2 linked regions of the Rattus norvegicus genome follow. The protein of the gene in region 1 purifies or fractionates together with the protein of each later gene. This does not show direct contact. Links are inferred from orthologs where the notes say so. Each region holds a gene or a part of one and is shown on either strand. Other genes may lie near its edges.

Region 1 (4,040 bases):
AAAGGCAAGTATTAAGCAATAGTTCAGGGAGATGTACCAGAAAGTCACAAATGTGGCCCACAACTCCCGCAACCTGGCTCATTATCCTCTAGTCAGATCGGTTCTTGGGAAGCTACCTATTTGCCCTCTTCCAAGGGCAATGGTTGGCTGGGTTTTTTTTTTTTTTTTGAGAAGTATTCTGTGCTGTATCATTCCCTCAGCAGATGCATGGTCGTCATCAAGGTTGGCAAAGCAGTACTCACCCAGGAACACACCACCCTACTGCTAGCAGCACACTGGCCTCAGCGGCAGGGACTTAGGTTGTAGGACACATAAACTTAAGTTGTTTGTTCTAAAGAGTAACAAGTTGCCAACACAGTTACAGACACCCCCCTCCCGGGGGGGGGGGTCCTTGCTCTGAGAGGCCGGAAGACAGAGACCGGAAGAACAGAGAGAATTAGAGGTTGAAAGGTAGAGTGTAAGGACAACGTAGTTGGCAAACACTAGGAGCAAATCAAATCCCTGGGTTTCAGATTTTTCTCTTAAGTTTAAAAACGGGAACATTAAGTTGGGTAAAATGGCAGGCACTCGCTTTTAATCCCAACCCTCTGGAGGCAGAGGCAGGCAGATCTCCAGGGCAGCCAAGGCTACCCAGTAAGATCTTATCTCAAAGATCCAAAGTAAATAAGCAATAAACAAACAAACAAGGTGGGGAATGGAGTTGAGAGTTGGTGAGATGGATGGGTCAGTGGGTTAAGCCATTTGCCACTGACCTTGACCCCTGAGTCAAGCTATAAAGCGAAAGGAGCAAACGGACTCTTACAAGTTGTCCACTGACCTCCACACGCATTCGCACTATTAACCTGCATACACACCGTTATTAAACACACACACACACACAGAGAAAGAGAGGGGAAGAGGTGGGGTGAGGCACGTGGGAAGGAATTGGGCTTGCGGTTTTTTTTTTTTTATAAACTTTCCAACTTTTTTTTTTTTTTTTTTTTTTTGAGACAGTGTCTCACTATGTCGCCCTGGCTGGCCTGTCTTTCTATCTCCTGAGTTCCCGTTGTTACTCCTTCCTGTCCAAGCTCACCATTAGTCGGACACAAAAGGGAAACTGAGGTCAAAAGATTAAAAGCAGCCTGCCTAACACTCCGTAGTATTAAACTGTTCATTTCCAAATTGCATGAAGACTAGTGCTGAGCAAAGAGTAGGATCTCAAGAAATGATTGACGAATGAATGGACGAATGAATGAATGAACTCAAGAGAAAGTGAACTCGTTGCGTTCTGCTCCCGCCCCCTTCCCCCCTCATTCACCCTCATCTTGATACACACCCCATTCTGGACTTCTCAGATCCCCTCATCTGAACCCCATAAGATGAAAGGTCTAACAAAATCACCCCGGGTGGCTTCACCCGCACCAAACCCCCAAGGTCACAGACCAGGTGAAAATCCAGCATTTCTAGGACACTTTGACCACACACCTTCTCAGCAAAGGACCACTCCCCTCTTCCCAGGGCAGATGTGGGCCGGGTGTGAGTAGCTGCAAGTGGGAAGGAAGTCTGGGATGGTAAGACTCTACCAGCCTCAGCAAGAGCTAGAGCCACACGCACCCAGCGAGGTGCCCACCAAGGTCAGGATTGTTGAGGAGCCTCTGGCCCCAGAAGGAAGAAAGCGAGAAGAGGAGGCTAGAGGCCTCTCACCTCTATCTGCATCCTAACAGCTTCCAACTTGCTGTGAGATTCCTGGAGAACCAGTCTCCCTCTTTTGCCCTCCCCCGCGCTCCCTCCTTCCCCTCCCACCTCCGGCTTCCCCAGACTTGCTCCGAAGCTTTTCTCGGCAGCCAACGAAGCACCTGTCAAAAAGCAGCTTTCTCTTCGCCAAACAGAATGTCCTTCCTCCAGTAGTCTCCCAGCGACCGGTGGGCTCCCTACCACCCCTCCATGCCAGAACCACCCCCTGGCAGCCAAGGAAGTCCCCAAGGGAGATTCCCTTCACCTCGTTTGGTCTTTGCCTTCACCCTGGCCAGACCTCGCATTCTAAAGGGGTCGGGAACCCTGCTAGAGCTTAAGGTCAAAACTCTGGGCAGGTGCCACCAGGGCCTAAGTCCTCCACCTGGGGCTGGCGGCGGGCGGTCCGCTTGGCGTCCGCCCCTCTCTGCAGCTCTTAGGGCAAGAGTACAGCTCGAGGAGGGGTGAGGGTGAGGAGAGGGGGCAAACTAAGACCTGGTAAGAGACACGCAGAGTTCCCCCTGCACACCAAGGGCAGGTGCGGCCCAGGCGCGGTGCCGGGTCCGGATCGGAGCACTCCGGGTCCTACCTGTCCCGCGGGTCGATCCAGCTGGTGGTGCGGTTCCTGTGATCTATGTAGTAGACCTTGCCGTCGAAGTCGCGCGCCTCCTCCCAGCCCTCCGGCAGGGGCAACTCCGGCCGGGGCATCTTCCCGAGCCTGGCCCGCGCTCCCCCATGCAGCTCGCGGCCGCCACGGGGCTCAGCGGCTCAGGCCGGCCGCTTTGGGTCCAGGCGGCCGCCGAGGCAGCATGATCGGGGGGTGGCGCCCGCGGATCGGGGGCCCTAACGGGGGCCGGCCGGAGTGGCGCCTCTGTCCATGCGGCCCTGCGGCCCCAGCCCCGCGCCGCCCGCCTCTCACGCTGCCATGTGCGCCCGCCGCGGCGCCCAGCCGGCCCGAGTACGCGGCCAGCCAGCCGGGAGAGCGGCCCGAGCCGCCGCCTGCCTGCCCCAGCCGCCCCGCGCTGCGCTCCACGCCGCCGCTGCCTCTCGCAGCCACTGCCGGCGCCCCGTTGCGCGCCCCGAGACTTCTGCCTCCGCCAGGTGTGGCTCCGGCGGTGCAGGTAACTGCGCTGCCCCGGAAACGGGAGGCGGAGCGCCGGGCTCCGGGGTTCCCGGGTCTCCTCCCCGCGCCCAGCGCGGCGAGGGCGGGTCCTAGAGCCCGAGACGCGCCCCCTCGTGGGACAGTCCCAATCGCCGACGACCCCTGCTCTGCCCCAGGAGGCTAGACTCTCTCTACACCGAATGTCCAGGCTCTTGGTGCATGTGGCCCCAAATCTTGACACACCCTGTTTTCTGTGAGATAGACTCAGGAGTCAGGCAAGAAGTGGTTAAGTGAAAACATTCTTGCAAATCGGCGAACATAAGTTTTCCAGGATCTCTCGTCCCTTCCCCCAGCACTCACACCATCTGTCTCCCTCCTATTCAATTCTCCCCGTGTTGTTTCAACCCTCCCCTCCGTAATTTGCAAATGTGGCTGGCTTTCCTTGGGGTCCCTAAAATTAGGAATGCAATGGATCTGCTTCCCTAAGAGGACTTCCAGCGGGTGGCAAGGGAGGAGAAGGAAGGACATATTTTGCCAGTCATAGTGAAGTGCACCTGCCTATCAGCTACTCAAGAGGCTGAGGAAGAAAGATTGCTTAAATCTAAAAGTTCCAGGCCACGTCAAAATAGCAAACACAGGGGATAAATAAATTAATAGTAAGGAAGAAGGAAAGAAAGAAAGAAAGAAGGAAAGAAAGAAAGAAAAGAAAAAAGGAAGAAAGAAAGAAAGGAAAAAAGAAGAAAAAGAAAAGGCAAACCAAAAAACAAGAATGTAAGTAAATGCCTCGAGACACTAACAATACTGAATCAAGGGGGAAAAGAAGATGGTGTCATCCAGCCAAGAATCCTCTGGCTTTGCCCTCTGCCTGTTCACTCTTAGGTCTGGTGTTTCCCCAGTGCAAATTTAACTATGCCTGAGGCAGGAAGCTGGACTAGAAGAATGAAGTCCAGTGCCTTGTCAGAATCTCTTCATTTGGGGAGTAACCAGTCAACTCCCTGTACTGTGTGGGAATCCCCTGTTTGGGCTTCAGCTCCTTTTGCTAGACAAGGCGTTTTAGGGTGGGCTCCCCAAGTCTTAATGCCCTGGGGACATCGGGGGTGAGTATAGTTCTTCCTCCAGTCCATCAATATTAGCTTCAAAGCCAGGGATCTCAGATCCTAGGGAGCTCCTCACCACCCAAGAGTGGGAGGGTTCTCTCTTCCTCTAGACTTCCTCTGATGGGTCAAAG
Region 2 (4,239 bases), on another chromosome or scaffold:
CATACATTTCATTTGACTTTACCATCAGTGCCAGTTAGAACACGGTACATGCCTTATGGCGTTTACTTACAGATAAGAAAGTTAAGGCTGAGAAATTAAAGTTCTCTAAAAGTCACCCAGCCAGGTAATATGTGCTAGAGCCCACAGTGAATTCTTTCTTTGGTCCCAACTTTCTCATTATTTTGCTTCCCTTTAATGTTTGTGTTTTCACTTACCTAAATGGTAAATTGCAGATTCCAAACCCAACCCTGTGTCCTGGGATACTGTAGTACTCAACTCACCGTGTATTTGAGCAGTATCATTTTTTTTTTCCACTGGAAGGAAATGTGAGTACCACAATGACACTTCATGTATTGTCCGTTCCTGGTTTTATGAACTAAGAGGTAAGTTACCAATTCCCAGAGAGCTGGACAGTGCTTTAAATATAAAGTTATATCTCAGTTGGCTAACGCACTGTCGCACCCTTTTAGGATACTGAGAAGTCAAGCATCTCATCTATCCCCAGCAGAAGCTGGGGAGAACAGAGAGCTAGACAATAGTCTCTTGTTTAGTTTTAATAATTTTAAGGGCGGGATGGGATCAAAGGATAAGATTGGCAACTAAAGAGACCAATCATAGGCCAACAGCAGTCGTGACTGGCCAATAAGTAGATGTAGAAGAATGGTGGGTGGGTCTTACTAAGGGCCGGCTGTTCTAAAGTAAGCACGCCCAGCCAGGCCAAGAGGTGGAGCTTCTCCTGAGTCCCGCCCATCCCTTGGCTCCCTAGTGACCGGCCTCCGGGAGGGGGACATGGACCCTTCTAGAAATTTGGGGCAAGAGGCTGACCCGGCAGGATGACGGAAGAAAAAGGGGCATTTTGTTGGTTTTGCCTTAGGTGGTCAAAGGAAACAAAGGGGGTAAAAACGAAGGAAAGCTGTTCTTGAATTTTGGGAAGCTTTGGCTCCGTGCTGTTTTTTGTTTTTGTTTTTAAATGCATTTCTATGATTTTTTCTTCCTCCCGCCCTGGGGCTGGGAGCTGTGCTGACTCTCCCACGCGTCTCTGCTACTCTGCTGCCATAGATTATTGAAGTCTTTGAACAAGAAAAATCCAACCAATCAACCAAATGTCCAAAACCAAAAAATCAAACCCGGTGCCTTTCTTTCTTCTCCCGCTTTAATTCCTGTACACACTATCGGAACTACCATCACGGAGTAGAGTCCGCCGCGTGGGAGGACTGGAGAGCCTGCGCGTTATCCCAGATCTCTCCCAGACTCCTGATCTTAGCCAACGTAGCAGATCAATTGTTTGAAAGTTCCCCGCCTGAAGGCCGCCTGACCTCCTGGGGCGCCGCCTCCTCCCCTTCGCCAGAGTCCAGCGGGCCTCCACCCCCCCCTGCCTCCCGCCCTGCTGGCCCCGCCCTCGGCCCGGCCCATCCCATCTTCCAGCCCCCCTTCTTGTGGGCGGTCCTAGCTGCTCACCGCCAGAAGAAAAGCCACCGTGCCTCCCCTGCTTCTACCTCTCATCCTTCTCTCAGGAGCTGCCTTCATCGCAGTCACGCCCCTTCCTTCCGAGGAGCTTTCGGGCTGCGTTCGCTGGTAGACCCCTGAAATCACCCCTCCGTCTCCCTTCTCTTTCGTCCCTTCCCTTAGTTCTCCTCGCCTTCCCCCACTACCACCACCTCCAGCCTATCTCGCTTCTCACCATCCGCTGCTCCACCCTCCGGCCCGGTATCCTGCTCGTCCACTGCCACCAAGGAGAGACCGGAGGGAGCAGCGAGGTTGGGAGTAGCCGGGACCTGGGGCTTCCTCCCAACCCATCCCTGGCCTCCGGCCCGGGACCAAAACCGCTTGAGGCTGCAGACCGAGAGTCCTCACCTTATCTTCATTGCTTTCAGAGGTAGGAGAAGCGTCCTTACTTTTGCGGGGAACTGGGGCAGTAATCTGTAGTGCTGTGAACTTGATCACGTCCTTATTTGTGAGTAGGTTTTTGTATGTGCCTGTGGGGTCGCCTGTATGTTCTACTATTTTTGCCGTTGGCCTTGAGTTTTCTGAGATGTGCAAGAAGTTTATTTAACGCAGTTTAAAAGTATTGGTTCCTGTCCTACTTTTAGGAGGAGATGCTGGAGGGGTACCATTGCTTGGTGCTACTTTACTTCCTCCCTGGGCTCTTGTAGGTTCCTACAGATTTGATCGCTTAAGGAACTAAGGACTTAACTAAGTTAGGGACTCCGAGGAGGTCTACCTTCAGTCCTGCAATTAATTGGGACTCCGGAGTCTAACTTCAGTCCCGCAGCGACTAAGTTAGGGACTCCGGGATCTATCTTCACTCCTGCAACCAAGTTAGGGACTCCGGAGTCTAACTTCAGTCCAGCAACTAAGTTAGGGACTCCGGAGTCCAACTTCAGTCCAGCAACTAAGTTAGGAACTCCGGAGTCCAACTTCAGCCCCGCAACTAAGTTAGGGACTCCGGAGTCCAACTTCAGCCCCGCAACTAAGTTAGGGACTCCGGAGTCCAACTTCAGCCCCGCAACTAAGTTAGGGACTCTGGAGTCTAACTTCAGTCCAGTAACTAAGTTAGGGGGACTCTGGGCTCTACCTTCAGTCCTGCTTGAGGAATTACCCTTATCTCAGAGAGCTAGATGGCTTTCTCCTAGGTGCTTACTTGGGTTGGGAGCTCACCCTCCCTGACCCAAGGCCACGAATTCTTCAAGTTTTAAAATGTGGAAGTAATGTACCACACAACTATTCGCTTTATGGACGCATGTGTAGTGGTAGTGGTAGTGAGACTCCGGAGGCGGAGATTGCCGTTATTTGCTTCAAAAGGTCAGAAGATTTTAATAAGTGGTTGAAACATCACGAAGGTGGCTGGTTTAAGGTCCAAGCCCCGGCCACTGTACTTTTGTTCATCAACAGCAATACCATCTTCATAGATAGATGAAGATAGATGAAGATGAGGAGAAGGAGAAGGAGGAGGGAGAATGACAGATTTTATAGACCGCAAGCAGTCTCTGGTGATTGCCTCTAATAAATCATAATAGGCGAATAATTTACAGCAAGGGACTAAATACAAATTAATGAAAGATGAAAGGGATAGATTTGAAAAAGCCTTTTCAGTACTGCCCCTCACCTCCAGATGTGGGGAGACAATTGAAAACTTAGAACTTTTTTCCTCTCATTTAGAGAGAAAGATAATCAACTGTAATCTTTAACGATGAAGGGCTAAGGATATATGTAACTCTTCTTGGGTTGGCCTTGTGAAACCTCTTCCTCAGGCCAGCTTTGGGAAACTACCTCAGACCTTTTAGTACCCTCCTTCAATAGCTAAGAAAAGTCTGAAATGGCATTTTGGACACAGGATAAATTTTTACCTGTCTCCTACTTCTCTTCACTTGGGCAAGTAAGTGCCACAGGCTTTATACTAGTTGGGTTGAAAGACTTGTTCCCAAAATGTCCGGAAGCTGTTGCTTATTCTTTAGAGAATAAATAATTTACATATTTACATAAAATCTTTGGTTGATTTTTAACAGGGGGCTGCGGAAGATGCAGGCAGGGCATCAGGGGTGGCCAGGAAGGTAGAGAAGGAATGCTACAGTGTTACATAGTGACGATTTTAAAGGCTATCATGTTTCAGATCAGCTGGGAGGGAAAAGCTGGCCGGACCACACTACATTTTAAAACGGGCCTGGGACATTTTAATAGCCAGGTGGTTGTAGTGTAGTTACATCTATTTACGGAAGATAACTCAGGTCCCAGCTATTCGGTATGGGTTTGCCTGGTGTCGTTTATGGGCCCTTTCTGGCGCTACATCATACTTTAGTTTAAGTTCCTTTGTACTTTGGAAAAGTTTGTGTCTCTGTTAAATTGAAAGTTAATTTTCTTTTTAATTCACAGCCTAGGTACAAAGTAATCCTGTAACTCCACCTGTACTTAAAGTAAGTTTTACATGGACATCCTGAATCCCTTTTACTTGACAAAAAATAAAGTTTAGAAAGAGATTTTCGCAATTCATATTTGTCATTGAGATTGGGACAATCAAATGTATTTTTTTAATTTATGAAGCAAAGTTTAGTAGACTAATGCATAACTAAGGCATTTTTGGAGGTCCATTTTCCTCTACTTTTGTATAGAGTGACAAGGACTTTCGAAAGCTTTTGAGAATGGAGTAGTAGGAAGATAGAGGGATGGGTACTTTGACTTTGAGGTCCCACTGAGTTGCCAGCATTCTAAGTGGGTACATCTGCTTCTGGGCCTCTCCTAAGA

Evidence for each region.
Region 2: the proteins of Wwc1 (region 1) and Amot purify together in Homo sapiens (affinity purification with mass spectrometry; 3 studies listed by BioGRID and IntAct, with this or other methods). This does not show direct contact. The link is inferred for Rattus norvegicus from reciprocal best matches to the Homo sapiens genes WWC1 and AMOT.

Annotation. Positions count from the first base shown.
Region 1 is NC_086028.1:20,955,638-20,959,677, forward strand, and holds the start of Wwc1 (protein KIBRA), read right to left. Parts: upstream 2,801-4,040; 5' UTR 2,419-2,800; coding exon 2,300-2,418; intron 1-2,299. UniProt on the Homo sapiens protein: Regulator of the Hippo signaling pathway, also known as the Salvador-Warts-Hippo (SWH) pathway.
Region 2 is NC_086039.1:113,835,047-113,839,285, reverse strand, and holds the start of Amot (angiomotin), read left to right. Parts: upstream 1-1,439; 5' UTR 1,440-1,876; intron 1,877-3,870; exon of another isoform or gene 3,871-3,911; intron 3,912-4,239.